3 linked regions of the Tamandua tetradactyla genome follow. The protein of the gene in region 3 interacts with the protein of the main gene of each other region in a pairwise test. Links are inferred from orthologs where the notes say so. Each region holds a gene or a part of one and is shown on either strand. Other genes may lie near its edges.

What was found.
Region 1: the proteins of FUNDC1 (region 3) and EHHADH interact in binary tests that used the Homo sapiens proteins (3 or more experiments, as listed by UniProt). The two-hybrid records come from large-scale screens. The link is inferred for Tamandua tetradactyla from reciprocal best matches to the Homo sapiens genes FUNDC1 and EHHADH.
Region 2: the proteins of FUNDC1 (region 3) and TUFM interact in binary tests that used the Homo sapiens proteins (3 or more experiments, as listed by UniProt). The two-hybrid records come from large-scale screens. The link is inferred for Tamandua tetradactyla from reciprocal best matches to the Homo sapiens genes FUNDC1 and TUFM.

What each region holds. Positions count from the first base shown.
Region 1 is NC_135336.1:3,927,779-3,939,095, reverse strand, and holds the start of EHHADH (peroxisomal bifunctional enzyme), read left to right. Parts: upstream 1-7,214; 5' UTR 7,215-7,283; coding exon 7,284-7,357; intron 7,358-11,317. UniProt on the Homo sapiens protein: Peroxisomal trifunctional enzyme possessing 2-enoyl-CoA hydratase, 3-hydroxyacyl-CoA dehydrogenase, and delta 3, delta 2-enoyl-CoA isomerase activities. Catalyzes two of the four reactions of the long chain fatty acids peroxisomal beta-oxidation pathway.
Region 2 is NC_135349.1:25,024,770-25,035,571, reverse strand, and holds TUFM (elongation factor Tu, mitochondrial), read left to right. Parts: upstream 1-6,384; 5' UTR 6,385-6,651; coding exon 6,652-6,694; intron 6,695-6,812; coding exon 6,813-7,007; intron 7,008-7,429; coding exon 7,430-7,596; intron 7,597-7,790; coding exon 7,791-7,895; intron 7,896-7,977; coding exon 7,978-8,142; intron 8,143-8,278; coding exon 8,279-8,411; intron 8,412-8,491; coding exon 8,492-8,596; intron 8,597-8,731; coding exon 8,732-8,883; intron 8,884-8,988; coding exon 8,989-9,108; intron 9,109-9,573; coding exon 9,574-9,747; 3' UTR 9,748-9,934; downstream 9,935-10,802. UniProt on the Homo sapiens protein: GTP hydrolase that promotes the GTP-dependent binding of aminoacyl-tRNA to the A-site of ribosomes during protein biosynthesis. Also plays a role in the regulation of autophagy and innate immunity.
Region 3 is NC_135353.1:126,930,092-126,940,522, forward strand, and holds the start of FUNDC1 (FUN14 domain-containing protein 1), read left to right. Parts: upstream 1-5,554; 5' UTR 5,555-5,693; coding exon 5,694-5,721; intron 5,722-6,393; coding exon 6,394-6,550; intron 6,551-10,431. UniProt on the Homo sapiens protein: Integral mitochondrial outer-membrane protein that mediates the formation of mitochondria-associated endoplasmic reticulum membranes (MAMs).

The sequences.
Region 1 (11,317 bases), on a different chromosome or scaffold from region 3:
AATTTCCTCAGCATAATTAAGTGTATATGTAAAAAGCCCACAGCTAACAATCTACTTAACGGTAAAAGACTGAAAGTTTTCCCACTGAGATCAGGAACAAGATAAAAATACCCAAGGTCACCACTGTTATTTAAGTGAAATTCTCTGGAATTTCAAGAGAAAGAAATGAAAGGCGTCCAAATTGGAAAGAAAGAAGTAAAACTTTCCCTATTTATAGGTGATATATGATAAAACCTGAACAATCCAAAGCAAACCTCCTAGAGCTAATAAATGAATTCAGCAAAGTGACAGAGTACAATATCAACTCCAAAAATCAGTCGTGTTTCTATATCCAAGCAATAAACAATCAAAAGAAGAAATCAAGAAATTCTATTCACAGTAGCAACTAAAAGAATCAAATATCTTGGAATAAATCTAATCAAGGATGTAAAGAATTTGTACTCAGAAAATACAAAGCACTATTAAGAGATCAAAGAACACCTAAATAAGTGGAAGGACATTCTGTATTCACAGATTGGAAGGCCAAATATTATTAAGATGTTTGTGCTAGTTTGAATCTGCAGTGGACCCCAGAAAAGCCATGTCCTTTAGTCCTCATTCAATATTGCTGGGTGGGAGCATTTGATTGTTCCCATGCAGATGTAACCCACCCAGTTGTGGGTGGTAACTTTTGACTAGATGAGTTCCATGGAGATGTGTCTCCACCCATTGACAGTGGAGTTGCTTGCTGGAGTCCTTTGGGGGAGGAAACATTTTGGAGAGAGTTTCTTTTTGGTAGAGCCACGAGAAAGCCAGCAGGCGCCGCCATGTTTGCCATGTACTCTTCCAGCTGAGAGAGAAATGTTGAACGTCATCGGCCTTCTTGAACCAAGGTATCTTTCCCTGGATGCCTTAAATTGGACATTTCTATAGACGTGTTTTAATTGGGACATTTTCTCAGCCTTAGAACTGGAAACTAGTAACTTACTAAATTCCCCTTTTTAAAAGCCATTTTGTTTCTGATATATTGCATTGCGGCAGCTAGCAAACTAGAAAAATGTCAGTACTACCCAAAGAAATGTACAGATTCAATGCAATCCCAAGAAAAATTCCAACAACCGGGCGGGCCACAGTGGCTCAACAGGTAGACTTCTCGCCTGCTGTGCTGGAGACCTGGGTTCGATTCCCGGTGCCTGCCCATGCAAAAAAAGAAAAAAAATTCCAACAACGTTCATTGCAGAAATGGAAAAGCCAATCATCAAAGTCAGATGGAAGAGTAAGGGGACCTGAATAGTTAAAGCCATCTTGAAAAAGAAGAATGAAGTTAGAGGACTCACACTTCTTTTTTTTTTTTTTTTTTGTTTTGTTTTGTTTTGTTTTGTTTTGTTTTGTTTTTTTTTTCACTTTTTTTTTAATTAATTAAAAAAAGAATTAAAAAAACAATTAGAAATCATTCCAATCTACATGTACAATCAGTAATTCTTAATAACATCACATAGTTGCATATTCATCATTTCTTAGTACATTTGCATCGATTTAGAAAAAGAAATAAAAAGACAACAGAATAAGAATTAAAACAATAATAGAAAGAAAAAAAACAAAAAAAAACAAAAACAAAAAACCTATACCTCACATGCAGCTTCATTCAGTGTTTTAACATAATTGCATTACAATTGGGTAGTATTGTGCTGTCCATTTCTGAGTTTTTATATCCAGTCCCGTTGTACAGTCTGTATCCCTTCATCTCCAATTATCCCTTCTCTTTTTTTTTTTTTTTTAATTAACGGAAAAAAAGAAATTAACCCAACATTTAGAGATCATACCATTCTACACATGCAATCATTAATTCTTAACATCATCACATAGATGCATGATCATCATTTCTTAGTACATTTGCATTGGTTTAGAAGAACTAGCAACATAACCGAAAAAGATATAGAATGTTAATATAGAGAAAAAAATAAAAGTAATAATAGTAAAATCAAAACAAAACAACACAAAACAAAACAAAAACCTATAGCTCAGATGCAGCTTCATTCAGTGTTTTAACATGATTACTTTACAATTAGGTATTATTGTGCTGTCCATTTTTGAGTTTTTGTATCTGGACTCACACTTCTTGATCTTAAACTTATCATAAAGACACTACAATCAAAGCAGCAATGTTACTGGCACAAGGTCAGATATATAGACCAATGGAACTGAGAGCTCAGAAATCAGTCCACTCATGCATGGCCAACTGATTTTTTTTCCCTTTTTTTTTTTTTTTTTAGGCATTGTCAGGATTCATGATGTGAACCCGGATCTCTGGCATGGCAGGCAATGATTCTGCCACTGAGCCACCTTTGCACCTCCCTGGTCAACTGATTTTGGCAAGGGAGCAAGTAGCACTCAACTGGGAAAGAATTGTCTGTTCAACAAATGGTGTGGGGAATGATCCATTTGCAAAAAAAACAGAAACCAAAATAAAATCAAGGAGCAACACACTATCTCACACCATATACAAAAATCAACTGAACATGGAACAAAGACCTTGATATAAGAGCTAGAAGTATCAAACTCCTAGAAGAAAATTTAGGGAAGCATCTTCAGGACCTTGTGTTAGACAATGGTTTCATAGGCTTTACACCCAAAGCACACACAATAAAAGAAAAAAAACAAATAAATGGGATTTCATTAAAATAAAAAACTTCTATTCCTCAAAGGACTTTAGGAAAGTAAAAACACAACCTGCACAGTGAGGGAAAATATTTAGAAACCACATATCCAATAAAAGTTTAATATCCTGAATATATAAAGAAATACTTCAACTATGTCAACAAAAAGACAAACAGTCCAATTTAAAAATGGGAAAAACACTTGAACAGACATCTCTCCAAAGAAAATATACAAATGACAAATGGCCAAATAGAAAGCAATGGCTGAATGATGCACAACAATATTATTAACCATCAGGGAGATGCAAATCTAAACCACAAGAGAGACCCCCGTTTTACATCCATTAGAATGACTGTGTGGTAGTTAAATTCAGGTGTCAACTTGGCTAGGTGAAGGTGCCTAGTTCTATTGCTGTGGACATGAGCCAATGGCACGTGAACCTCATCTGTTGCTGATTACATCTGCAGTCAGCTAGGAGGCATGCCCGCTGCAATGAATGATGTTTGATTTTATTGGCCAGTGCTTAAATGAGAGAGCTCAACATAGCACAGCCAGAGCAGCTCAGCATACCTCATTTCAGCACTCACTGCTCAGCTCAGGCCTTTGGAGATGCAGAAAGGAATCACCTTGGGGAAAGTTGTTGGAATCCAGAGGCCTGGAGAAAAGGCCAGCAGAGATTGCCCTGTGCCTTCCCACGTAAGAAAGGATCTCAGTTGAAAGTTAGCTGCCTTTCCTCTGAAGAACTGTATGTTAACTAAATAGATCCCCTTTTATTGAAAGCCAATCTGTCTCTGCTGTATTGCATTCTGGCAGCTAGCAAACTAGAACAGACTGCTATTCCAAAAACAGAAAATAAGTGTTGGAGAGGATGCAGACAAATAGGAACACTCATTAATTGCTGGTGGCAATATAAAATGGTACAGCTGCTGTGGAAAATAGTTTAGTGGTTCCTCAGAAAGCTAAGTATAGAACTGCCATATGACCCAGAACCCCACTACTCAGCATATACCCAAAAGAATTGAACAGATATTTGCACACCAATGTTCATGGCAGCATTATTCATTATTAAAGATGGAGACAACCCAAGTGCCCAACAACTGATGGAATGTATAAGTAATATTCATACAGTAGAATATTATTCATTCCTGAAAAGCAATGAAGTCCTGATGCATGAGACAACATAGATGATTTTTTTTTATGTTTTGCATGTGCAGGCTCTAGAAATCAAACCCAGGTCTCTGGCATGGCAGGTAAGAATTCTGCCACTGAGCCACCATTGCACTGCCCAACATGGATGAATCTTGAAGACATCACGTTAAGTGAAATAAGCCACACACAAAAGGCCAAAAATTGTATGATTTTACTGATATAAAACAATTAGAACAAGCAAACTCATAAAGTCAGAAGCTAGAATATAGTTTACCAGGGGATTGGATGGGAATAGGGAATGGGAAATTAAGGCTTAAAATGTTCAGGGTTCCTATCTGGAATGATGGAAATGTTTTCATAATGGGTGTCAGTAATGGTAGCACAACATTGCTAATGCAATTAACAGCACTGAAATATCTGAATATGATTAAAAGGGGAAATGCTAGTTCATATCTATGGTAATAGAATAAAAATATTAACAAAAATCCATGGTACTACACTACCCAAACAGTAAACCTTAAGTTGAACAATGGACTATAATTAATAGAACAGCTATAAAAATGTGCTATCATCACTTGTATCAAATGTTTCATACCAATGCAAGGGGTTGGTGATGGTGTGCTGTATAGGAATCCTGTGTTTCATGCATGATTGTTCTGTAAATCCACAACTTCTCTAATAAAATAAAATTAAAAAAAAAGATTGATAGGTACTCACCATTCAGTAGCTCAGATTATATTAGTTGAAAAAAGGATTATATTGTTTTCTATATGGGAATTAAAGTAGGCTCCATGGAGGTGGTGCTAGGTAAGCCAAACTAATATTGTGATAACAGTTTGAAATCACCCATTATTTTCATGTGCAGCAAATGATGTATATATATATATATATTTTCACATGGGCAGGCACCGGGAAACGAACCCGGGTCCTCCAGCGTGGCAGGCGAGCATTCTTGCCTGCTGAGCCACCGTGGCCCACCCAGCAAATGATATTTTAATAAGAAAATACTACAGAAAAGAATATTGTTTTGTATATGGGCTTTTGGTGTTGCACCATTTCTTCCCAATATGACATTTAATTTTTTTTTTAAGGATTGATAGACTGTTGTTGATAGGCTGGCTTTTTACGGGGTGATCACTGAGGCAGTTGATGAATTGAATGGGGTCTGACTGCTATTTGTTACCAGGGCCACAAGGCAATCACTACTTTGCTAAGAGTTGGAACCTACTTTTTTTTCAAAAAGCAAAAGAATGTCTCTGATAAATCCTTAATTATGGCTGACATTTGTGAAACATCAGTGAACAAAATTATTTCATTGCTTTTTCCTCTGAAACGTCCAGGCTGCCTTCTGACCACTGGAGGGACTGTGGGACCAAACACACTTAGAGAAATCTTGTTTTAGCCTAAAGTTTTGGAGGGAAGGGGTTGTGCCTTGTTTATTTTTACAGTCTTGAGGCTAGGCCTAGCTCATAGTAGGTGTTTTCATTTGCTAATACTGCCAAAAATGCAATATATTGGAAATGGGTTGGTTTTCACAAAGGGAATGTATTAAGTTACCAGTTTACAGTTCTAAAAGGCCATAAAAATATCCAAGCTAAGGGTATCCAGAGAAAGATAACTTGACTCAAGAAAGGCCAATGGCTTGGAATACCTCTGTCAGCTGGGAAGGCAAATGGTTAGGGTATCTGCTGGGAAGGCAAATGGTTAGGGTATCTGCTGGTCCTTTGGCTTCTGGATACCCTGGGGCATTTTCTTTCTGCATCTTCAAATGGTCTCTGTGCGCGTTAGCTCTGAAGCTGTTCCGAAATGATTCCTTCTTAAAGGACTCCAGTAAGCAGATTAAGGCCCACCTTGAATGGGCGGAGATGCATCTCCATGGAAACCACCTAATCAAAAGGTCCCACCCACAATTGGGTGTCTCACATCTCCATGGAAACAACTTAATCAAAATGATCCCACTCTACAATACTAAACCAGGATTAAAGAACATAGCTTTTCTGGGGTACACAACAGTTTCAAACCAGTACAGTAGGTACTCAGTTTATAGAGGAATGAATGAAGTGTTAGAAGCCACAATCCTTAGGAATGGCAGAAGATAAAAGGGAAGCATTAGGCAGACAAGAAAACTCAAAGGCTTCACTAGGTTGCCGTGTGATGTAAATGTTTGGTTGATAGTACCACATTAATTTAGGTCATAATGTGTGTATCTTATGTGTTCAGGTGGGTATCATATCACATCATTGTCAGAGCCCCAGATATCTGCTCCAGAAGGATCATGAAGATGAAAACTGATGAAAGCATTTACATTAAAAAAAAATTTTTTAGTTAAACAGTTTTATTCACACACTATACCATCCATTCTAAGTGTACAATCAATGGCCCTTGGTATAATATGTATTCACCACCACAATCAATATGAGAACATTCTCATTGCTTCCGGAAAAAAACCCCATATTCCTTATTCCCCCATTATTGGCATTTAGCTTGGGTATAGTGCCTTTGTTACAATTAATGAAAGAATATTATAATGTTATTAACTATAAACCTTAGTTTACATTAACTATTTTTTTCTGTATACTACCCATCTTATTAACATCTTGTAATAGTGAGGTACGCTTGTTCTAGTTCATGTAAGAATTTTATTATTTTTTATAATTAACCACCGTCATTGTCCACTCTAGGTTTCATTAAGTTATACAGTCCCAGTTTTTATCCTCCAGCTTTCCTTCGGGTGACATACATTACCCCGGCCTTTATCTTTCAACCATACTCACGCTCTGCTTGTTACTCTCATTTACAAGCACTGTATTGTGCTTCCATCACACAATATTGTGCTATCCATTTCTGAACCTTTACAATCAACCTTATTAAGCATTCTATATTTCCTTAGCAAGGGAATTCCCATGAGATTCCCTTGCCCAATCTCTATCCCTTTTCAATGTCCTGGTAAAATGTGCTCTCAGACTTTAACTCCCAGAGTTTGCTCATTATAATTAGTTCATATTTGTGAGACCACACGATATTTGTCCTTTAATTTTTGGCTTATTTCGCTCAACATGATGCTGAGGGCTTCTTGACCAGTTCAGTGAATCTGAGTCTTGTGAGAAGGCAGTTTCTCTTGGCTCCGGAGTTGACACCTCCACTTGCCGCAGTCCCAGCCGGTTTACCGCTGTCCTCCTTGCTCTATTTCGTATATGGAGAAGGATGGCAGTCAAAACAGAAAAAGGGACCACAAACGTTTGTAGACCCCACAGGCCTTCGGACAGCGCTTCCTGTCCTTGTGAGTGGGCGGGTCCGGGAGAGAAGAGGGCTTGGTCTGAGGGTGGGCCACGAGGCCCAGGGTGCTGGCCAGCTGGCGAGACGGAGCCGGGCGCACGAGCCGCGCGGGGCTCGCATTGGCTCAGCTGGCGCCCCTCCTCGCGGGGCCGACCCGGTGCCGCCTTCAAAGAGGCTTCTCCCAGCGGCGACGACCGAGGCCACCTCAGCGACGGGGAAACATGGTCGAGTACGCGCGGCTCCCCAGCCGTCTGGCGCTGATTCGCCTCCGAAACCCGCCAGTCAACGCAATCAGGTAACAGGCTCGGTTATCTCCAGCCAGGGGCAGCTGCGGACTCGCCCGTCGGCCTGCTCCGGAGGCTCGGCCTCTCCCCTGCTGCTTTAACGTGAGAAAGACGCTAATGCGGACTGAGACCTGGTGCGCGCCCGGGCTCTTTGCATAGGTTAGCTTGCTCAGTCACCGCTGGGAACCCGTCCCTCTTTACTAGGAAGGAAACGGAGACTGAGGCCCATGGCGGCTGTAGGTGGGAAAGGCTGGGATCCAACGCGGTCTGTAGACGCCAAACTTTTCCGCTTCCTTACAGCTTCGGTTTTTCTGGCATGGATTGATAAGCAATGTGTTATCAAGGACTTTAGCACTTGGACAATAAAGAAGGTTAGCTTTTGTGTGTGAAGGTTCACTTGTGTGTGTGTGTGTGTGTGTGTGTGTGTGTGCGCGCACGCGCGCGTATCAACTCAGTGAGTAAAGGGGAACTGTGTCCTGGCCTAGAAATGCGGTTATTTCTCCTGATCTGTTCTAAACCTCAGGGTCTTAGGGCATCAGTGAAAAACCTATGTTAGAATTACACTTTAAGTAACATTTTTCTGAAAAGATTCTGTGCAATTTATCTTCTTTTATAACAGCACGGGGTAAAGTTCAACTTCCTTGTGAAACTCTTTAGCCCAGATCTGTGCAAAATACTTAGAGCATTACTTTTCAATGTGAGATTAGTGCTGTCGTCTTGAAAGTTAAAGAATTATTTTATAGGTCTCCATATCTCTGGAAAAAGTATACTGATACATCGGCCTCAAGAAAAGTCAGCCACCCATCTACAGGGAGTAAGATCAGAGAAATTATCATACACAAAGAATCATGTTGTATAAAGTGTAGAAAGATCTTTTTTTCTTTCTTAATTACTTGCCTGCTGAAGCTCTTAATCACATACCTGCTGAAATAAAAGAGACTGAATGAGGAGATCTGCTGATTTTAAAAATTTTTTGTATTTATTTATTTTTAATATGCCTATGTTTATTTGCTGGTCTGCAAATAGAAATGTCCTATTTTTTAGACTTTTAATTTTGAAATAAATTCAAGCTTACAGTTTGCAAAAATAATACAAAAACAATACAGAGAATTCCCAAATACCCCCACACAGATACCTAGATTTACCAACTTTGAAAATTTTGCCACGTTTGCTATATCGTTCTCTCTCTCTCTCTATTTCTCTATCTGTTGTATAAACATTTGACAGCACATTGCATATATCATTCTCCTTTAACACTGAATACTTCCATGTTTATTTCCTAAGAACAAGGATAGTCACTTAAGTAACCCACATTAAGTACAGTTAAGTTAAAGAAATTTAACATTGATAGAACGCTTACAACCTATATTCTAATTTTTGAATTGTCTCAAAATGTCCTTTGTGGCATTTTCTCCTTCCTTATAAGATCCAGTCCAGGATCATGTATTACACTTAATTGTCATTGTCCCTTTAATCTTATGCTCGCTCCCTCTCTCTTGCTCTCTCTCTCTCCTTTTAATAAATTGTGGTAAAAAAATAACCAAACAGAAACTCTGCACCCATTATACGTTAACTCCCCATTTCTACCACCCCAATCCTCATTCTTGGTAGCCTGTACTCTACTTTCTATCTCTATAGATTTGCATGTTCTAGTTATTTCATTTAAATTGAATCATAATATCTGTCCTTTTGTGTCTGACTTATTTCACTCAAGGTTCATCCACGTTATAGCTTACAACATAACTTAATTACATTTTATGGCTGAATAATATTCTAGTATATGTATATACCACATGGTGTTTATCCATCCAGCTGTCGATTGACACTTGGGTTACGTTGACCTTTTAGCTATTGTAAATAATGCTGTTGTGAACATTGCTGTACAAATATCTGTTCAAGTCCCTGCTTTCAGTTCTTTGGGTATATACTTAGAAATGGGGTTGTGGGGTCATATGGTAGTTCTATGTTTAACTATTTGGAGAGCCATCAGTTTTCTAAAGTGGCTTCACCATTTTACTTTCCTACCAATGAGATATGAAGATTCTTATTTCTCCATATCGTTGTGAACACTTGCTATTTTGCCTTTTTAAAATAATAGCCATTCTAGTGGATGTGAGTTGGTATTTCATTGTGGTTTTGATTTGCATTTCTCTAATGGCTAAAGAATCTAACATCATTTCATGTATTTATTGGCCATTTGTCCATTTCCTTTGGAGAAATAACTATGCAAGTTGTTTGCCCATTTTTTTGTCAATGATTTTTTTATTGAGATAAAATCATCCAGAGTATACAATCAGTGGTTTACAGTATCATCGTAAAGCTGTGCATTCATCATTACAATAGATTTTTGAACACTTTAATCCAAAAACAAAATTAAGAATAAAAAGAAAAAGAACACCCAAAACATCCCATACCCCCATACCCTCTATTGTTCATTTATTTTTTTGGTCTTTTTTTTTCTTACTCGTCTGTCCATACACTGGATAAAGGGAGTTTTAGTAACAAGGTTTTCATACTCACAGTCACACCTTAAAAGCTCTGTAGTTATTCAGTCATCTTCAAGGATCAGGGCTTACTGGATAACAGTTCAACAGTTTCAGGTGTTTCCCTCTAGCTACTCCAATGCACCAAAAACAGAAAGGGATATCTATATATTGTATAAGAATAACCTCCAGAAATACTTCTTACTCTATTTGAAATCTCTCAGCCTTTATTTTGTTTCATTTCTCTTCCTTCTTTTGGTCAAGAAGGCTTTCTCAATCCCATGATACCAGGTCCGGGCTCATCCCTGGGAGTCATTCCTATATAGGGGAAGGGCAGTGAGTTCATCTGCAGCATTGGCTTAGAGGGAGGCCATATCTGAGCAACAAAAGAGGTTCTCTGGGGGTGACTCTTAGGAATAATCATGAATAGGCTTAGCTTCTCCTTTGCAGGAATAAGTTTCATAAGGGCAAGTCCCAAGATCAAGGGCCTGGGCCCATCAAACTGACAGTCTCTAATGCTTGTGAAACTATCAGGTTTAATATTTCCACCTTTTCCCCCAGTCTCCCAAGGGGGCTTTGCAAATACTTTTTAATCTTCTGCCCAGCTTACTCTGGGTTGTATTGGGGCATCACACCAATCTGTACAAACTAACAAGATTTCACTCCCTGTTCAAGGTGCCATGCAATTATGGTTTTCAAATAAGCTGATCATATAGATAGTATGCTACCAAAAATATAAATTTTGCATTGAATAAATATCTTTTCCTTTAGCCTCACACAGAAGTTGAAATTCTTAAAATACGGTCAATATTATCCTTTACTGTAGAGTCTAATTTACCTTAGTCCTACCCAGATCAGCTTCATTCATATCTCTAATTGAAATCTGATAACTTCCTCAGTATTTTTTTTTCTTTTTTTTTTTTTTAACATGGGCAGGCACCAGGAACTGAACCCGGGTCTACAGCATGGCAGGCAAGAACTCTGCCTGCTGAGCCACCATGGCCCTCTCAGTATTTTTAACAATTGCTGTATAGGGTACTGCTGATGTTCACAGCCACAGAACTCTAACTCTGAATCTCAAGTGTCACACAAATTCCCAAAGTTCTATGGAATGACCAGGTACTACACAAAGAGCTCAGCATCTCAGAATTTAGAAATAACAGTTATAACTCTGAAATAGATGTGACTGCTATAAGAGCTTTCAATTGAGGAACTATTACAGTAGGCCTTCCCATGATAACCTGTGCTCTCGAATTAAATTCTCAGAGTTTGTACACTATAATTAGTCCATATTTGTGAGGAATTATAATATTTGTCTTTTCATTTTTTGGCTTATTTTACTCAACTTACTGTCCTCAAGCTTTATTCACGAAGTTCCAGCCTCACAACTTCATTGCTTCTTCCAGCCATTACATCATACAATAGTCCCTTGTATGAACGCACCACAGTTCGCCCTTCCAGTCTTCAAATGTACCCTAAATTGCAAAT
Region 2 (10,802 bases), on a different chromosome or scaffold from region 3:
TGAAACAGGATTGAGTCTTATAACCTTGGCTTGGGTCACCCACTGACAATCCCTGGGCCAATCACTTGTGACCATGAGGGATGAGTTATGCTGACTGATAATCTCTAAATCGTGGTTCCATCATCAGAGATGGGCTGAGCTTAGCTCCAGTCAAACTCCATGGGCTGAACATGGCAGAAGGTGGCTCTTTGAAGAAAAACCAGGGTCTCTGACCCAGGGTGGCGTGGTTGCTCATGCGATCTTTTGGGGAGTCATCTTGACTCTCCTTCATCCCTAAGAGATGGGGATTTCTCCTATTTCATCTTCATTTCTGGGACATCAAATTCAGCCTTGGTGCTTTGGCCTGGACTTCCTGCCCCACTAAATCATACCCTGTTCAATTAGGACTTTCTGAGAGAACGAAAATACTTCTGCTTCACTCGGGCTTGCCTCTGAGCCTACACACATCCTTCCTTTCCCTTCTGCCAAGATGGGCAGTTTAGCCTTCCTCCATTTTCAGGCTCCGAAGTGTGGCCTCCTTTAGGCGGACCCACCTATGCCATCTCTCGAGTGCTTTTCACTTAGTAGCTTTTGTGTAACATTTGTTAAGTATTTCCAACTGGGACCTCCCCAGTCACATCTGATGACAAGTGTGATCAGAGCTCAGATTGCAGTTTGGAAGGGCATCTGGGACCAGGATGCAGATGGCTCAAACAATCCTACCTGAACTTGGTCTCAGTCTCTTAGCACTGCTTTTAGAGAATGGAGTTTAGGCCTAGAGGCAGAGGCAGTTGGTGTAGCAGTCCAAGAGAGGGCTGATGCCAGTCTGACCAGATCAGAGCAGTGGAGTTGGCATTCAAAGGGGATGTCCAGAATGAGGAGGCATTGCAAGGCTGGCTGGTGAGCAAGAGAGGAGTGAAGGATGAGTTTCCAATGAGGGTTTGCTAAGAGACATCAAGGACAAAGCTCTGGGTCCTAGTCCTCGATTTGCCACTGTGTTGCTGGGCCAGCCCAGTTCTCATTCCCAAGAAATCTTAGACATCATACAGTTCAACTTCTTCACTCTGCCCCCATCTTATAGATAATAAGCAGAAGCCCAAAAAGTTACAGCTACTCACCTTTTATTTGGAAAATGAATGTGAACCCAAAATTTGCTTTCCACTGAAAACAGGAAACTTCATAAACCTATAATACATCCTCAACCTAAATAATCCATTCAAGAAACAATTCCTTAAACCAATGCTTATTGCTCACCTAAGTGTTAGGTACTATTCTTAGAGTAAAAAAAATAATAATAATAAGCTTTGACTGTCATGAGCTGGTGAGAGAGAAACAAATAAACAAGTAAACTGAGATAAGAAACTTGAAGAGGATAATTGGTAAGGTGACTTAGGGGCTGCTTTAGCTAGAGGAGGTGACATCTGAGGTGGGACCCGAATGATGACAGGGAATAAACCATGAAGAAAGCTGCAGTGAAGAATGTTACAGGGACAGGGAAAAACATCTGCAAAGACCCCAAGATAGGAACAACTGCAGGACATTTGCAGGGAAGGAAGGCAGTGTGGCTGGGAGAGAGCAAGGGAGAGGAAAGTCATATCACAAGAGAGTCAAAGAGTAGGCAGGGGGCCAGATCAGGCAGGCCTTGTGGGCCAAAGAGATGATTTTTTTTAAAAAAATAGTTTTATTGGGATATAATTAAACTACCATGCAATTGTCCATTTAAAGTAGAAGTTTGGATGTTATTCTAAGTGCCACAGGAGTTAATAAGGGAATATTAATTTCTGATAAATTATTTTTTCAGGGACCATATGTTTTATTTATTAAAGTAAACCAAACTCCAAGCAGAATTGTAGCTGCTTACTAGAAAATTTTTAATGCTTTTTGAAAGAAAAATATATACATTACTGAACTCCAATGACCGCACAAATATAAAATGTGGATGACATGGTTAAACACTGAGACAAGTAGGATAAAGTTTTGGGTTGCCACAAGCTCAGAATAATCAATAGTGTGATGGTGCATGATTTAGTGACAGAAAAATTAAACTAGGTCTGGGCCCCAGGACAAGTCACTTAAACTCACTGTAAAATAAAGTTAAGAAGAACACATAATTCAAAAGATTGTTTTGAGGGTAAGATTATCTCTGTGAGAATTTTTTGCTGATGCATATTTTTAAAAGCTTGATCTGGCTACTGTGTGGATGATGGATTTGACAGGTATTAGGAATAGGAATAATAGCTGGGAGACCCACCAGAAAGCTCTTGAGGTAACCTGGACCAACAATGCCACCAAGTAGACCCCCAGGGCCTACTTGAGGAGTGGCCACATTTGGGGTATATTCTGGAGAACCAGCAGGGCTGGATAATGGGCTAGGTGAACAGGGCAAGGGAAATGGTGGTTCTGTTTATTGACATATGTAAGGGATGAGGGGGTGGGAGAGAAAAAAGAGTACTATTTTGGACACTGTAAATGGTGAGCACCACAGTGGCAGCACCCTTCAGCTGAGAAAGCTCACTAACAGTTCAACTGTTTAGCCAGGTACAGGGGAGGAGAGATTTGTGAAGCCCAGCCCCCACCCTGCTCAAGTCACAACGTATTCCCAAACAAGCAAAACCAGGACATATGTCTCAGTGTACCAACTGCTGTAAGAGTGTCTGTCAGGCTGTAATGGGCTACAAATAACAGACAACTCTGAAGCATTCTGGCTTAAACCATAAAGACAGTCATCATCTCCTACCACAAGGAATCCAGCCTTCTAGGATCCTCTATGCTTTGGCCTCCTCTGGGTTCTGGCCTTGTCATCCAACTGGGAGCAAGAAGGCTACAGTGTTTCCCGCTCCCTGCCAGAACCAGCCACATGTGGAGTCAGAAAGAGGTCCATCGCTTCCAGTGTTTCCTTCTTTAAAGTGAGGAATTCTTTTCTGGAAGTTTCCTCAAACAGATCTCCTCTTACCAATTATTGGCCCCAGAGGAGTCATATACTCAACCCTAAACAAATGCCCTGGCAAGGACCAGGGGATTCCAGGACCAGCGGAATTGTATTAGACCTGTCAGGATTTATTCCTGGAGCTGGGAAAAGGGCAGCCAGACCAGGCCAGACCAGGCCTTTTGTTTTGATGAACAAAATCAGGGCCCTGCCTGCAGGGAGATGAGAAAATTGCTGCTAATTTGGAGCTAAAATGTCTGCCATAGAGCAGAATGAATGGCCTGCTGCGGGGGTGGAGGAACCCAGAAGCCCTTTGATTTCAAGAGCACCTTTTTTAAGAGTTAAAGATTCTGTACAAAGAACCCTTCTTTCTTTAACTGTAATGACAAAAACAAAAATGTTTAAAAGAGAAAATCTCTCTCCTCCTCCAAGGAGATTCACAGCCTGCCGAAATCACAATTGTTTTCAACTTCCTTTGTCCTAATCTCTTTATCCCCTGCCTTCTCCCATCCATGGAGCCGTTCCTCCCTGGTTCATTTTATGTTGTTCACAAGCATTTTTACAGGTACCTGGCTCCATCTCTGCAACTCTGAGCCTGCTCCATCTAGCGGATATGTCACAATTAATGCTACCATATCTACATACTGGACATTTGTGATCATTCTACTCTTTCATTGTATTTGTCACAGGCATGGCTGGGCATCTTTCTTTTTCTTTAATTGTGGTACTATATATATATATATATATATATATATATATAAAATTTGCCTTTTTAATCATTTTCAGGTATACAAGTCAGTGGCACTAATAACATTTACAATGTTGTGCTACCATTACCAGCATCCATTACCAAAACTTTTCCATCACCCCAAGCAGAAACCCTATACCCATTAAGCAGTAATCCCGCGTTCATTCCTCCCTCTAGCCGCTGGTAACCCCTAATCTACTTTTTTTCTTTATATATTTCATGTAAGTGGAATCATACACTTTTTTGTCCTTCTGTGCCTGGCTTATTTCACTTAGCATAATATTTTCAGGGTTCATCCATATTATAGCATATATCAGAACTTCATTCCTTTTTTCTGGCTAAATAATATTCCATGGTATGGATAGACCACATTATGTTTAACCATTTATTTGTTGATGGACACCTGTGTTGTTTCTGCCTTTTTGTTGTTGTGATTAATGCTGCTAAGAACACAGATATAAGAGTATTTGTCTGAGTTCCTGCTTTCAGTTTTTTGGGGGTATATCCTAGGAGTGAAATTGTCAGGTCATATAGTAATTCTATGTTTAACTTTCTGTGGAAAGTCTCTTTTGAAGAGACTTTCTTATACCTCTAGGGAAATTCCCTATCAGTCCTGCTTCCCCAACATCAAAGTTGACAATATCTCTCTCAGCCTCCTCTGATACAAGAACACTTACATGATCAAGGCTTCCACAATCAGGCACATCCACGTGAGACTTTGAATCTGTCTGGCTTTGGGGCAGGGTGGAGGGAGGTCACTTTCTTGATGCAGAAGTGGTTTCAGTGCCGCGAGCAGTAGCAGACAAGTCTAAGTCCTGGCATTTAGTATCTGGAGACAGTGGTAGCAGCAGCAGTTTTCTTTTCAGGTCAGTTCAGCAGCTATTTATCCAGCCCTCCCCATCCCTGCCCAGAACTTTTTATTTATTCATTTATTTATTTATTTATTTATTTATTTATTTAATCACTTGCCCAGTACTCTTTAACAAATCCCTCTTCTGCTTAAACCAGCCAATATAAATTCTGTTACCTGTAAATTAAGATTTCCGACTGATCCATTCACTGTTATAAAAGATGTTGTAGTTAACAGCTCTATAATATTTTTTTCTTCCTTTGGACTCTTAGCCCTGTGCTTCTGAAACTTCATTCAAAGGCACCCCCTTCAAAAATTTTTGCCACCCATAATATTATTTACCGAATACTTTTTAAATTGACTGATCTTTTGAAACTCAGCATTTACTTGTGCCAGGTTTTTCCTTTTTTTTAAAACAATACACACACACAAACACCATTAAAAGAGAATCCATTAGTTCACATACCACCCCCCAAAAAATTCATAACCCACTAGTGATCACAAAAATCTTAGGATAATTTCCAAGAGTAGAGTGACAGAGGTAAAGGGTAGGAACAAAGAAAACAGTTTTACACTGTACCAGCCCTTTCTAAGAAAAGGTGATAGTTTGGAGGACCAGGAGGAAAGCGGTGTTGGCTGGTCTCTTGGTTTATCTGAACCATCCATAAAATTATAGTTCTGTGATAGTACTGTACATTGGTTTAGTGCTATGTTTTGGAGTTTTGCTGCATTAGGTTCCTTAACCTCCCTGATCCTCAGTTTTCTCACCTGTAAAATGGGAGAAAGAACAGATCCTACTATACAGGGTAGCACTGGAAGCAGTAATTGTGTACCAATACGAAGCATCTGCACAACACCTGATACCTAAAAAGCTGTAGTTCATAGTTGTCGAAACTCCTCTGTGCTTAATAAAGGGAGGGTGTGTGTGTTATAAATATAGTTTCCCTGATAGTGCCCAGTCCCTCTGAATCATAATCTCCAGGTAAGGAAGCCAGTCAACATAGTCACAGGATCTAGTGAGTTTCAGAAACTTAATCGGGTTTAAGTAGCTGCTATTATTGTCTTGGAGTAATGTTGGGAAGCTGCGATGAAACGATGGATGTGAAAGTTAAAAGTTATTACTCATTCATTCAGTCAACGCATTTATTGAGCACTCATTGCATGCCCCGCCCCGCGTTAGGTGATGGGGATAAAGCCTAGAACAAGATTCAGTCTGCCGTTAAACGCCCCCCTAGGTTGGTCCTTCACCCTCATTTATAAAATTGAGGCGGGAGTCGGGAGGTGGCGGTAGTGGTGGTGGCGGGGCGACGATCGGAGAGTTTCTCCCTGGGCTGCTGATGGTTTACAGGAATGTCTTGGGGACTGTGACCTGTAAAGTCGGGCAGTAAAGAGTCCAGGAAGTTGTGAGCCAGGGGGCAGCTATTTGTGGGGCAGGGACTATTCGACCAGGAGAACAGAGGATTCCGTCCCTGATCTCGGCCCGTCTCATTTCCTCTCAGGTGGATACTGTTATTTCCATCTAACGGATAAGGTTTAGCGGACAGAGGGCTTACACTTGATCCCACGCCCAAAAGGCGCCCCGGGCCTGGCCCTACCTCCACCTGCGGCATGGAGGCCGCCCGGCCTCCCGCGAGCCGCGCGCAGCAAGTCGGACTCCAGGGGATTCGCGGCCTCTCTCCGCCGGCCCGGGACGTTCCTCAACAGTCCGCGCTAGGGCCGTCTTTGCCTTTCGGAGGCCAGGACGCTGCCGACCCCGCGGGCCCTTACCTAACCCAGACTCAAAGTGCCCTCCCGACCCGCCGGCCTACAAACTACAATGCCCACGATGCTTCGGGGCCCTGGTGCATTGTGGGAGGGCCCTGGTGCCTCATGGGAGGGCCCCAGAGCGCACCAGAGAAAACTCCGTCGTCCCGCAGGCGGCGAGGCCCATGTGTATTGTGCAGACACCAGCGACCAGCGCCTTCTTAGAAGTCCTCCGTCCCGCGCCCGGAAGTTGGCGGAAACGACCATAGAAACTGGTAGCTAGAGGCGCCCAGCCTCGCCCTGCCGGCCCCTATTCTTGCCGGAAATAGCCTCCAACCCCAAGTGTCCTTCTTTTTGGCACTAGCGGGCTTCCGGTCCGGTGCCCGAGGCGCAAGCACGACCACAATGGCTGCTACGACCCTGCTGCGCGCGACGCCCCGCTTCAGTGGTGAGAGAGCAGGAAAGGCGGTGGTGGCTCAGGATGGGGGTGGGGGAGAGGCATGTGGGTGGTGTCGGGGTGGCCGGGCTCGAACCCGCGCTCTGACGCCAAGCCTCTGCCCCGGCAGGTCTCGGTGCCGGCACCACCTCAGTGCTGCAGGTTTTGTTCCGGCCGCCGAAGGCCCCGGCGCTGCCCGTCTTGTGCCGGGGCCTGGCTGTGGAGGCCAAAAAGAGCTATGTGCGCGACAAGCCCCATGTGAACGTGGGCACCATCGGCCATGTGGACCACGGCAAGACCACGCTGACTGCGGCCATCACCAAGAGTGAGCGGGCTTGGGGTGTGGCAGCTCCCGATCTATTGGCGGGACCTGGAGCCCAGAGTGGCTGCTGGAGGTGTTTAGTGTGACCCCAGAAGCCAGGTCTCCGGCGGGCGGTAGAATGGAGGATCCAGGAGACAGAGGTCCCCTGCTCACTTAGTACTTTGCGATGCATTTGGGGGACGCGCTCGCCGTGGGAGTACTCTGTAAGAGGAAGCTTTACCTTGGCTGACCCCTGGGGCCTTTTAACGTTCCTGTCTGATCCAAAGTTACCTCTGCTGCAGGAGTTCGAGACTTGAGGGAGGCGGAGAGAATCTTTCTTCCAGACTATTATTTGTTTAGGTGGGAGGGGCCTAGGGGCGTGGTCTGAGCCCTGCTTCCAGTTCTAGAATTTGAGCTGAGAGGGGGTTTCTTTCCCCCTCCGTTAGTTCTGGCGGAGGGAGGTGGGGCCAAGTTTAAGAAGTATGAGGAAATTGACAATGCACCGGAGGAGCGAGCTCGCGGGATCACAATCAACGCGGCTCACGTGGAGTATAGTACCGCAGCTCGCCACTATGCCCACACAGACTGCCCAGGTCACGCAGATTATGTCAAGGTGAGAGTTGCTGCACACGGCAGGGCCAGAACTGCTTCTTGTCAGGATAAAAGTTAGGGTTCTGTGGGAGGAGGTTGATAGTGGATGTGTGAGTTTGTGGCCGTGGGTAGTGGGTGGTGAGATGGCTGGGTCAGATGGATATGGAGCTGAGAAAGTCACTTTACTAGGCTGAGGGTTCCATTTCTTCCGCCCAGAATATGATCACAGGCACTGCCCCCCTTGATGGTTGCATCCTGGTGGTGGCAGCCAATGACGGTCCCATGCCCCAGACCCGAGAGCATTTATTACTGGCAAAACAGGTATGCAGAGCTCATATGGGGGTGGAATGAGTAGGGGTTGGGCCATTCCAGACATTTGCCCTATCTTTGTCCCTGTCTCCAGATTGGGGTAGAGCACGTTGTGGTGTATGTGAACAAGGCAGATGCTGTCCAGGACTCTGAGATGGTGGAACTCGTTGAGCTGGAGATCCGGGAACTGCTCACTGAGTTTGGCTACAAAGGGGAGGAGACCCCAGTCATCATAGGCTCTGCCCTCTGTGCGCTTGAGGTGAGGGTGGGGACAGCAGGGATTGCTGGTGGAGGATGGGGCTGCATGGGCAGGGGCTCTGCCCCGAGTCTGGGCAGACTTGTGCTAAGTAAAAGCAGAATGGAGGTTTCAAGAGTCCTTCACCTTCATCTCCCAGCAACGTGACCCTGAGCTAGGGCTGAAGTCGGTACAGAAGCTGCTGGATGCTGTGGACACCTACATTCCAGTGCCCACCCGGGACCTGGAGAAGCCTTTCTTGCTGCCTATAGAATCGGTTTACTCTATCCCTGGTGAGGACTGGGCTCGTTCACCACTCCCTCTCCAAGAGGCAGGCCCAGGGTCCCTGACATCCGTTCCTGTTCCCTCCCAGGCCGGGGCACAGTGGTGACAGGTACGCTGGAACGTGGCATTTTGAAAAAAGGGGATGAATGTGAGTTCCTGGGACATAACAAGAACATTCGCACTGTGGTGACAGGTATGGGAATGAAACCTCAGCACCCAGGGACTGGCTCCATGCTGACCTCTCCCCTGGCACATCCCTTGTGCTCTTCCTCTGCCCCAAACCCTCCTCCTTTATTCTTTCTCCTCCCTCCTTTCTCTCTCCTCCTAGGCATTGAGATGTTCCACAAGAGCCTGGAGAGGGCAGAGGCAGGGGATAACCTTGGGGCCTTGGTCCGAGGCTTGAAGCGGGAGGACCTGAGGCGTGGCCTAGTTATGGCCAAGCCAGGTTCCATCCAGCCACACCAGAAGGTGGAGGCACAGGTGAGGGCTCTAGGGGATGGTGAGCAGGGCTGAGCCAAACAGCCCCCTGCAGAGACAGTGCTTCCAGCCAGGCCCAGCTCTACCTCACCCTGCTTTCTTATCCAGGTTTACATTCTCAGCAAGGAGGAGGGTGGTCGCCACAAGCCCTTTGTGTCTCACTTCATTCCTGTCATGTTCTCCCTGACTTGGGACATGGCCTGTCGTGTCATCCTGCCCCCAGAGAAGGTATGCAGGTGTAGAGAGATGTGAAGGAGTGGAAGGGGTCCTCTTCCAGTCAGCTCTACCTTGTTTACAGGGAGGCCAAAGATGCCAAGATGTCTTGATTTCCTCGGGTGGAGGTGTATGGGTCTGGACCGTGTACCCTGGGCTGAAGTAGGCAAGCTTACTCTACCAGTATTTATCCCTAGGAAAATTAAAAGTTCCTGTTATTTATTATGTGGGACTCAGAAGTCCTGCAACTTCTACATAGCCCATAATTTAAACCAAAAAAAAAAAATTTTTTTTTCCAAAATGTTTTTCCAAAAACATAACCTTGGGAATACTGATCACTGGTCCTTTTTATGCTTTCCTGCCCTTGCATCTGCCCAACATCACCTGCTGCATTGTCCCATGAAACTGAACCTCTATAGTAGGCAGAAGCAGTTAAGGTACCCCAAAAGCCATATTCATTCCTGTCTCTTTTTCCTTCAGGAGCTTGCCATGCCTGGGGAGGACCTGAAGCTCACCCTCATCTTGCGGCAGCCAATGATCTTAGAAAAGGGCCAGCGTTTCACCCTCCGAGATGGCAACCGGACCATTGGCACCGGCCTTGTCACCGACACGCCAGCCATGACTGAGGAGGACAAGGAACTCAAGTGGAGTTGAGTCCATGGACTTATGCTCGGGTTTTGCTGCATTGGGGCTGTGCTGGCCAGTCTTCAGCTGCTTCAGGCATTCTAGGGCACAAGCTGAAGCTCTTCTTGTCAACTGAAAAAAGAGACAAACACTCTCCCTGTTCAGTAGGGGTGGCCTGCCAGCTGGGATAGGCCAATAAACTTGTATAAATAGTAAACTCACCTGTGTCTCTTATGCTTGTGCATTAGCTAGAGGAGCCAGGAGGGTACAAGAGGAAACAAGCCCAGGGGGTTATTAATCATCCTAGAGTAATTTCACTTCTGTGGTGTCACTTTTGATGGATTGCTGCTGCATACTTAATTCCAAGCACAGGGTTAGACGTTATAGAGACTATCGAATTAGTATTTTCAACATTTACTGAGATTTAACATTTATGTAGGGATATGTTATTATCGCAGCATATTTAATCCCTGCCACATTTATGCAGGGATTAAAATGCTGAGTAGATAAGAAACCTGAAAAGGACAGAGACAACACACCCAGGACCAGCAGCCCAGAGAAGGATTTGTGGCCTCAACCTAAGAGTTGTTTTGATGAACTCTGACAAGTCACCAACAGACTAGAAGGGAGCAGGACCCAAGGAAAGACTTAATCAAAACTACCTTTCTTTATTTGCTTTACCCTCCTCAATGTCCAACAGTCTGGGTCTTACAGGAAAATTTCTGGCTGAGTGAAGGCTAAGTTCCCTTTCAAAGCTGATTAGTGCTTTTAGAAATAAAAAGAATTATAACCAACTTAGTCCTTTCATGACGCAAAAAGACTTAGCTAACTTGGGCTGTACTTCAGACATTCCAAGCCCAGTGGAAAGCTTCCCACTTCCTGCCTTCCATTGCTCTCCAACCCCCAAACCCCCAATACCCAGTGGTTACCTCACACCCTGGGAAATTTACCCTGACAGCTAACCATTATTCCTGTCTGGTCTCAGCCAATGTTCTCTGGCTTTGAGTCCAGTGGAAATACCCCTACCATCAAGCACCTGTGTGCACCAGCCACATGCTCATCGCCCTAAAAGGGTGAGATTACCT
Region 3 (10,431 bases):
TTTATATATTTCAAACTTTGTTATGAAATGTATACAAATTTAAATGTTTTTATCTTCCTGGTAAACTGGACTTTTTTAATAATTCTAAACTTTTGATGATGAAGTCTATTTTGTCTGCTATAAATATAAATCACAAGCTTTCTTTGTTTCCTATTTCCCTAGTATATATATTTCATCCTTTGACCTTCAATCTTTCTTCTTATGTTAGGTATTTTAATGTAGAAATTAATAATGTCCAAAGTTACTAGGCATCTTTATCTCCTTCCTCAAAAACTGAAGTACATTAGAACTCTTCATCTGTAATGATCATTTACCAATGTGTAAACTATGTCCAGTTTTTAAATTCTACCTTTTCATTGTTTCCTACAATAGTATTACATTTACATATATCAATGTTTACTTAGATTACCAAACGTGTTCACCAGTATCCCTGCTCACTATTACCCCTTGCATCCAAGATCATTTTCCTTCTGCATGGAATCCATCTTTAAGAATTTCCTATGGTGAAATTTGTTTAAAAGTGTCTTTATTATAACTTTCTTGAAAGATAGTTTTTCATTGATGATTTTTAATGTTTTAACTTTCTTCTTTCTCTGGGCCATTATTTACTGTTTGGATGTTCTGCAATGTTTTGTTGAAACTTGGACATGTTGATATTTTAATGTCTTATCACTGGAATTTAAACACTGAGGCATCTGTTCCTTAAGCTTGCATCGAGCTACTGTTATGACAGAGCTCTCTTTGAATACCAGGAGCTGACCAAAAAAAAAAGAAGAAGAAGAAGAAAGAGGAGGAGGATGAGAAAAAAGAAAACACCTTTCCTTGTCTTTGCAGATTGCTCTGTGCAGAAAAGCTCTGTTTCAGAATTTATGAATACAGTGAGTTTAGACAACAGCTCCAGGCTAAAGCCTAAGGGTCTCCCTAAACCTTTCTATGTATGCATCTTGTCTTAGGCATGTGCTTGTGGACCTAGGAATTTCCCATTTACACAGACAAAATTGTCCCTTTTTCCTAGGACACAGTTTCTTCATAGTCCTGGACACCACACTACATGTCTTAGAGACAGAAATCCCTTTCCCTAGGCAGCATGACTTGACTGCTCTCTCACAGCATTTCGTAGCAGCATTCCATGAGCTGCCTTCTACACACTGGACAAGTTCTGGAACCCTTAGGCACTATCAGACAGGTTGGGTGAGACATATATGTTCCCAGTATGTAAATGAGGGTTGCTCTGCTTCCACTGGAACTGGGACTAGGGATTTGCACTGGGGAGCACCAGCTGGCTCCACACCTCTGGTGAGGGGTGGGGAAGGGGTCAGTTGGGGTATCAGGAAATCCTCCTGCTTTTAAGTTGCCTTTTCTTGATTCCATACTCACCCTGTTACTGCAGCCCTCTAACTGTTTTTTCTGGACCTTTGAAAAGATGTTTCTGCCAGTTCTTGCTGGTTGTTCAAATCTTCTGTTGGGGAGGAAGCCCTGAAGCACCTCACTCAGCATCTTGATTGGGTGTGGGGCCAGAAATTTAAGATGTGTTTTAAAGCATGCCTGGGTGTTTCCCTGGCAGAGAAGGAAGCCACTGGTTTCGGTACAGGAAAGAGCATGTACCAAGTCACAGCGGTTAGAAAAAGCAATGTGCATTCAGAAAACTTAGGAATTGCAGTCAGCTTAGAAGAGGAGGAACCTTGGGGCAATCTGCAGCAGGAGACCAGAGAGGTAACTTGGGTCCAAAATGTGAAGGGACCTAAATGCCAAGGGCCAGCAAATTATAACCTATAAGCCAAGTTCATCCCATGGTCTGCTTCTGTAAAGTACATGAACACTGAACGGTTTGTACATTTTAAAAGGATTATTTTTTCTTTATGTTTTGTTTTGTTTTGTTTTTCTAAGACAAAGAAGAATATGCCACTAAGACCCATATGTGGCCCAGAATGCCTAAATTATTTACCATCTGCTATTGCACAGAAAAAAGTTTGCCAACCCCTGTGGTAGGCCATAAGAAGTTTAGACTTGATCTTTTAACTGATGGGCAGTTTGTTACATGTACTCAAGTAGATAAAGCAATGATCAGATTCAAGTTTTAGAAGGAAAAATCTGGTGGCAGATTAGATTGATTTTAGTTGGAGTGGAGTGGGGAGTGGCAAGAAAATGGATGAAGAAGTCAGTTGAGAGGCACTGCAATGGTCTAAAGGGTGATGTGATCTAAATACTTGAAGAGCATCAAGGAGAGATTGGAGAACACAACTTAGGTAGTGCAAGCACAGAAGAAATCACTGCTTTACTGTAAAAGAAAAGGGAAGGGAAAAATAAAAAGTGACTGTGACATTTTTTTTTTTCATTTGGGTTGCTTCAAAGATAGTGTGGAATTGTTTGGGATTTGCAGATCATCCAAATGCAGACATTCAGCAGGGAGTGACAGTTGAGATTGTCCAGGGAGCGTGATGTGTTCTGTAGTTTGTTATTTACTTTTGCATTTTGTTTTTCTCAATTCTGATTAAAGTGTTTTTAACAAATGAAGTCTCCAAGGACATTATGGAAAGGTGGAAATCAAAAACGAATAGGGGTCAATTGTTTCATTACAGCTTCATTATGGATTAAATGGGAAATGGTCTCAATTTCAAATAAATTACTCATAAGTTTTTGGAACACTAGATAGTGAAAAGTTGGGGACTACCCTAATTATGATGTATAATTGTAGATAAGAGGATATTGAGGCAGTTAGATAGGAAAGGAGAGTAGGGGAAGCGACCCTAAGACCTTATAGTAAGACGTTCTTTTTGGCCTGTGCATACCTAGCCCTCATTTAGGAGGGCACTGAAAAGAACCAATGAAAAGTACAGCTCATCCTGAGACTCAGCATCAAAGGACTGAGAAAAACCCTAGAATGAGCTGAGAATTAACATCAAGAGACTGAGAGAACCTCTTGACCAAAAGGGGGAAGAGTAAAATGAGACAAAGTGTCAATGGCTGAGAGATTCCCAACAGAGTTGAGAGGTTATCCTGGAGGTTATTCTTACGCATTAAGTAGACATCAATTGTTATCCAAGATGTAATGGAAAGGCTGGAGGGAACTGCCTGAAAATGTAGAGCTGTGTTCCAGTAGCCATGTTTCTTGATGATGATTGAACAATGATATAGCTTTCACAATGGGATTCTGTGAATGTGAAAACCTTATGTCTGATGCTCCTTTTAGCAACTATATCAACAGAAGAGTAGAACATATGGAATAAAAATAAATAATAGGAGGAACAAATGTTAAAATAAATTCAGTTTCAAATAGTGGTAAATGAAAGCGAGGGGTAAGGGGTATGGTATTTATAGTTTTTTTTTCTCTATTATCATTTTATTTCTTTTTCTGTTGTCTTTTTATTTCTTTTTCTAAATCGATGCAAATGTACTAAGAAATGATGAATATGCAACTATGTGATGATATTAAGAATTACTGATTATATATGTAGAATGGAATGATTTCAAAATGTTTTGTTTGTTAATTTTTTTTTAATTAATAAAAAAAGTTAAAAAAAAAAAAAGTACAGCTCATCAATCCCTTATTAGCACAATCAGAAAGGGAAGGGCTTCTCCAAGTCTTTATAATGCAGGAATCCCAAGCTCAGAGCCCTTCTCCTTTGGAGAACACCCACGTTCACTCCCCCCCACCCCACCCCGTTCACCCCCTGTGACCACGGACTTACACCATGTGTTAAACTTCTTGGCTTTACACACTGACTAGTCCTCGGATTCTTTGGCTGTATACACTGACTGGTCCTTGAATAATTTCCTGTGACTAAGTAAAAAACCCTCATGGTACCAGCTCCTGGTTGAGGTCTTTACCTCTCTGAGAACTCCTGGGGGCTCTCCAGCACCAATATCAGTTCTGACTGAAAAGAAAATTTACTTCCACTTCTTAAATTGGAAATGAAAAAAAAAAAAATCAACCCCTTGAGACCCATCATGTGGATCACAGCTCTTCAGAAAGTCTGTATATACAATTTACACATTAAACCACTTGTCATTCAGCCAACAAAATGACAGCTCTTTTGCTACTGGAAAAGAAAAAATAAAATCCACATTAGAACAATACATTATACAACTAACTTCCTTAAGGTGAGGCAAGGTGTATCATTGCAAGATAAAATGGTAAAGCATTAAAAACTTCCTTCTAGGCCTTAAGTTCTTTAGAGAAATGATTGATTTTTAAGCCATTTTTTGGGTCATTTTTTAATACATATAAATACATATAATACATATAAAGTCTATTCATTGGCATCTTAAGAATAGTGTTTTGTTTTCATTCTGTCCCTCATTTCTTCATAGCCAGTTGATTCTAAATGCCATTTCCTTGACAGAAAAGTGACTTCTTTCTGTAGTTGGCTGACATTGCTAGAAGTATTTAAACACGTTATTCGGATTTCATTGGCCAGTCAACCCTCCCTTTTGGTCTTTCACTTTATATTTTCCTTTTTTCTTGTTTTCTCCTTTCCTTTCAGTGGTTATTTCTGTTTGTCAGCACCTCAGTAGGAGAGGGTGGGCAATGGGGAGGAAGGACTGTATGAACTAAAAAATAAATAACTTTAATTTCAGTGAGATCTCAAGTCATTTCCCCTAAAGTCTTTTTGCTTCTGAAAAGTGGAGTCTTAGACAAAGTAACTGTCTTTTGCAGTTCTAAAAGAACACTAACATCTCCAGACAGTCTTAGAATTATATTTTGGGAGCTGCAAGCTGAGGAATTTGAGAGAACCAACTCTTCCATTTAAAGCTCCGGGATTTGAAAAGCCAAGTGTAATCATGCAAGTTAATATTTTAAGTAATTTGGTCTATACCAGAATACCTTGTTTTTCCATTAAAACTAACTCGGGAGCTGGTTGCTGTTTAGTTTAACTGTACAGCGAATGCGCTTGAACTTCATGTTTGGGCGCTGGTTTATCTCTGAACTTTGTTTATCTGCTTGGTGATCAAGAGTTCCTCATCCTACAGAATGCCATGGGACTTCGGGATGAAGAACTTGACCTCATTATTTTGTCAGGTTTAAATAATAGTAATGATGATGATGATTTTTAAAATGGTTCTCAGGCTGCCTCACTAGGGCTCCTAGCAAAGAATGTGTGGAGCAGACGCTGAAAAAAAGTTTCCAATTTCCTGCAGCAGCGCATTAGACAAATTTTCTGCCAGTTCGTGTGAGCCCTTGCTTCCTTAAAGCAGTGTGGTTTGAAACAAGGCTTCTCTTACCACTTTTTAAAAGCCTTTTTCCTCAGGGGCTTGAATTCTGATACAGCGTTCAAAATGCAAAGATGGTTTTCCCTTTTCACCACTATGTGACAGCCCCCAAATCTTGAGGAGACTTGAAACACAATTCAAGAGTAAAAAAAAAAAGATGTTCAATCCAGGGTGGGGGGTCGATTGGGCCTGGGGTGTGGAGGGCAACGGACTACAACTCCCACAAGCACTCGCAGGACTGCGCTTCGACCTACCTTTCTTCCCCACTCTACCCACACACCTACCCCTGAGTCTCGTCTTGCGCTTGCGCAGAAGTCCCCGCGCTGGCGAGGAGGGGGCGGGGACAAGACAACGTGCCTGAAGGAGGCGGAGAAGGAAAAAAAGAGACCATAGACTTCTTCCTCGGCCTAGAGCGGCCGTTACAGTACAGGGGAGAGGAGGGCAGGTGGGGACCACCCTCAGAACCGGCCGCCGGCGGAATAATGGCGACCCGGAACCCCCCTTCCCAAGGTGAGCAGCCCGGGTCCGAAGTAGTTTCTGGGACGCGGCTCACACCTCCCGACCTTGTTCTCAGGGCGGCTCTTTCATCCCCTCCCGCAGGATCCTTGGGGCTCTTTTTTTGAGGCCGCCCCTTTGAACACCCCCTCCTATGTGGACATCTCCCTCCGGTCGGCGGAAGGCAGGCGGAAAGCAACCCCCTCCTCCAACACTGCTCCACCCCTTGCCTTTCTTTCAACTCTGTCTGCAAACGTTTTATTTTAGTCTGACCCTAAAGTGATTTCTTCTCGCCCGACTGCTAACTTTGACCCTCCCTCAACCCATACACTCCCTGCCACCCCCCACCCCCCCATGATGAAAATGGAGTCTGCTCTGGCTCTAACTCTTCTGAAATTTAGGAGGTGACCCCTTACTCCTGTGTTAACTCTGACCTGGCCCGGTCCCTTGGCTCCAGACCGGCCCCTGGGGTTTCGGGAAGAAGATGGGAATGATATTACTAGGCCTTTTACTCTTGAGGCCCGAGGCTCAGGGTTTGAGTTTAACAAACTAAGCATTTTCCACCTGGGCGTTTTTAACTATAGGCCTAACGTAACAGTGAATGGTTAACAGGTTTTTTAAAAAAAATGCGTAGGACATTTCTGACATGATTTACTCAAAATATTTTTTCCATTTTGTATTTTGAAGAATATGAAAGTGATGACGACTCTTACGAAGTGTTGGATTTAACTGAGTATGCAAGAAGACATCACTGGTGGAATCGAGTGTTTGGCCACAGTTCCGGACCTATGGTAGAAAAATACTCAGTGGCCACTCAGATTGTAATGGGTGGAGTGACTGGCTGGTGAGAAGAACATCTTTTTCATTAATTTTCATTAGGAACTTAGCTTGACTGCTGCCTTTTTGTACATGGGCCAGACTCACTAAGCATACAGTGGGTTTACACTGTTAATCTTCGAAAAGCACTGTGTTGACCTTTTCTCTGTGAAGAAATAATCCTCTTTCTTCACAGGATAATGTGAAGAAATTTGATAATCCTCCTCCTGAAACCCACCACTGTTCCACTGTTCCTCCTCACTCTTCTTTTGATGATATATTTTCCCCTTTTTCAATTTCAGCAAACTTAGTGCATCTAATAAAGTGATAGTGGTTAGATAGGAAGAACTATATGAGAAGAGTTTATATGTAAATAATTTTTATCACCCAGTGCTACTACCTGGAAAAACGGAGAAACATGCGCAGTAGAATGGATCTCTAGAATTGTCAACCCTGTAGACAGCAGTGTGAAATCTTCAGTGAAAATCATTGATGATCCTAGATGCTACTGCTGTTTTTTGTGGACTTGTCCTGACTATGCCAGTGCTTTGAAGAACTATTGTAGAACGTTGGTTTTGTGTTGGCGTTAAAGGGCTGACTGCTTATTCTGTAATAATTTTGTGTAGTGCATTAAGGAGGAGCCACTATTCGGCATAAACCTAACCAGTTAACACTTCAGACTACATGACTACATAATTGCTACTATGGATCTAATTCTGATATTCTGTGAATAAAAGATTAGCCAAATAGCAGAGGTCAGAAACAAGGGTTTGACCCTTTACTTTGAAAATATTTATGACCAGAGAGAACTTTTGAAGTGAGGGTTCTTAACTTGTGAATAATCTTTCTTTCTTAGGTTCTAGGTTAAATTCATCTTACATTGACTTAATTTACATATTTACATTTGATAGATATAAAATTAAAATTTTTGATTTGTGTTTTACATGTGCCTTGGAACAATGGCTTATTGCTCCAGGCATTCTTGTAAATGTCATTTTATGGGTTGAAATATTCATTGTGAAGATTCTGTGATGGAGAGATGCAGTTTTTGTGTTCATATGTGTACTTATTAATGCTGCTGTGTGATAAAATCTGCAATTAGGATATTCCTGGTCAGGACCCTGATCATTCAGATGATTCTCCACAGGTTGGTTGTACCTTGATCCCCTTAATTTTCAGGGTCTGGCCTTCTGCTTATATAAGCTCACAATTTGGTCCCATAGGTGGTTGGTTAATGTGAGTCAGGGCCTGAAGCCCAATCTTAAAAAATACAAAAAGATAAAATTGAGAAATAGCATGATCAAACTTTATGTAAGCTTGATGAGAATCTCTGTAAGTGGCAGAAATTTGCTTGGAGAGCCTAGGAACAGCAGGGGGATTAGTGGGTCCATTTTAGTGGCTAATACCTTTAAGCAGTGGATACACGTTTGTGGAGCATGCTGCCCAGGGTATTCTTAAAACTTGGCATGTTTGCCCCCCCCCCCCCCCCCCCTTGTGGCCTTCCTTGCTGACTCCTTTGCTTAGGGGTTTGTTCTCTGTAGTAATGCATGTATTTGGGTTTTAGCCAGGTGTTTGCCCAGGAGCTCTTACATTTTACAGGTGATTTGTTGCAATGACTATAGATTCTGTCTAGTACATTTTTGCAATTTTCTTAGGGTATAAAGCTGATGCAATATCGTGGCATACATTAAGGAGGAACAGTTAATAGATGTTAGCCAGTTAACAGTTCAGGCTAATTCAGGACATGAATGGAAGACTGAGGACATATTTAGCTGTAGGGAACTATAGATTTTTTTAGCATAATAAGCTAAATATATATATATATATATATATATCTTTGTGAGTGGTTGCTAGGAGAGACTGAAAGTGGAAAAACCAGTTAGAGGGCCCTTAGCGTAGTCCAGAAGCAGGTAATGGAAGTCTGAACCATTAGCAGGGTAATGATTTTCTGGAGAATGGGAAAGGAGAAGACATTGTCAAATAATGTCCTGAAGCTTGAATGTATAGAATGTGGCAATCAATTGGACCAAGGAGAGAATGAGGAAGGCAGTCTGAGATGAATATGAGGTGTCCAGGCTGGAGAGCAGAGCTATCACTTATAAGTTGGGACCTTAGGCAACAGTTGATTTCATTGAAAAGGTGATGTTTGCTTTGGGATATTTTGAATATGTGGTTCTGTCTTAAAGATGCCCAGCATATAATTGGAAATGTAAGAGGTAGAAATCTGGGATTCTTTTGCACAGAAGGGATCTGGAATTCTGAAGGGAATATGTGACCTTACTGAAGAGAAAGTCAACCACAAAAGTAATATGGGAGCTGATACTCTTAGGATAGATGAGACAAAACAGGTTTACTATAAGGAGAGAGAGATATAGGTAAGGAAAATGAGAAATATGTACTGCAGTAGTCATAAAACTAGACCTTAAAGGAAAGCTTTAGATAAGTAGAGCTAGGCAGAACCCCCTAGAAACAGGGCAATATATAGCACGAGCAAACGTGATGACTCATTTGGAAATTAGGTTGGAACAGAAGGTTTGGGTAGAGTACAGGTTGGCTAGGTATATGGAGCATCTTGTATTAAAAAAACAAAATGAAACACTTTTATTATGGGAAATTTCAACTTAAACAAAAGTAGAGGGAAGGGTATAGCGAACTCTTTAGTACCTCATCATCCAGTTTCAGTAGCCAATCTTCTTTCCTCCAAGTTGCACCTCTTCTTTTTACCATCCCTTATTTTGAAGCAAATATCAGACATTTTCAATTGTGCTTTTTTTTTTTTTCACCGTCCTTTGCTGTTTATTATGCACACATACAGTGGGATTTTTACCAAGGAAAAATAAAAGTCTTTATGGGTAAAATACTAGTAAAGAAGAATGTTGGATGGAACCCATTTAAAAGCAGAATTTCTTTACTCTGGGAAACCAACTTCCTAGAGAGTCTACAATATCAACTCAGGGACACTCCAAAAGCTTTCCTGGAAAGGAGAAACAGACTTCTTTTTACTTTTGCTGTTGGGCTGGAGAAACTATCTCCTTTGTTTCTTATTTATTCTAAATCAAAATATATCCCCCTCCACAGAGAAGTTCTGAAATGTTAACTCCCAATGAATCAGACACAGAGCCAAATCCCCAACGGGCACTCTACAAATATGAATTTCTTAAAGTGGCTGTCAGGCGGTAAGATGGATAAGAGATACTTGATCCCTAGTCATAAGAAAAGCATATAGTGTATTGGGCCAAGTCAAATACATTTTGTGCTTTTTGGCAAGTCAGTCAATAGCTAAAAAAGGCCCCCATTACAGATTCTGATAAAGTTTTCAAGGACAAAACCGAGAGAATATGTATACAGAACTTTGATGAGCCTTTACAAATGCCTATGTAGTAACACACTGCTCACACACATGATTCCTGAGAAGGGCTTCTTTGTTTCTAGCTCTAATTTAAAAAAAAAAAATTTTTTTTTTATTAACTTTTGAATTTAAAAAAAAAATACTACAACAAAGAAAATCAAACATTCTTAACATATGATCATTCCATTCTATATATAATCAGTGATTCACAGTATCATCACGTAGTTGCATATTCATCATCATGATCATTTCTTAGAACATTTGCATCAATTCAGAAAAAATAAATAAAAAGACAACAAAAAAATTCATGCGTACCATACCCCTTACCTCTCCATTTCATTGATCACTAGCATTTCAATCTAAGTTTATTTAACATTTGTTCCCCCATTATTTATTTTTATTCGATATGTTTTACTCCTCTGTTGATAAGGTAGATAAAAGGAGTATCAGACACAAGGTTTTCAAAATGACACAGTCACATTGTGAAAGCTATATCATTTTACAATCATCTTCAAGAAACATGGCTACTGGAACATAGCTCTACATTTTCAGGCAGTTCC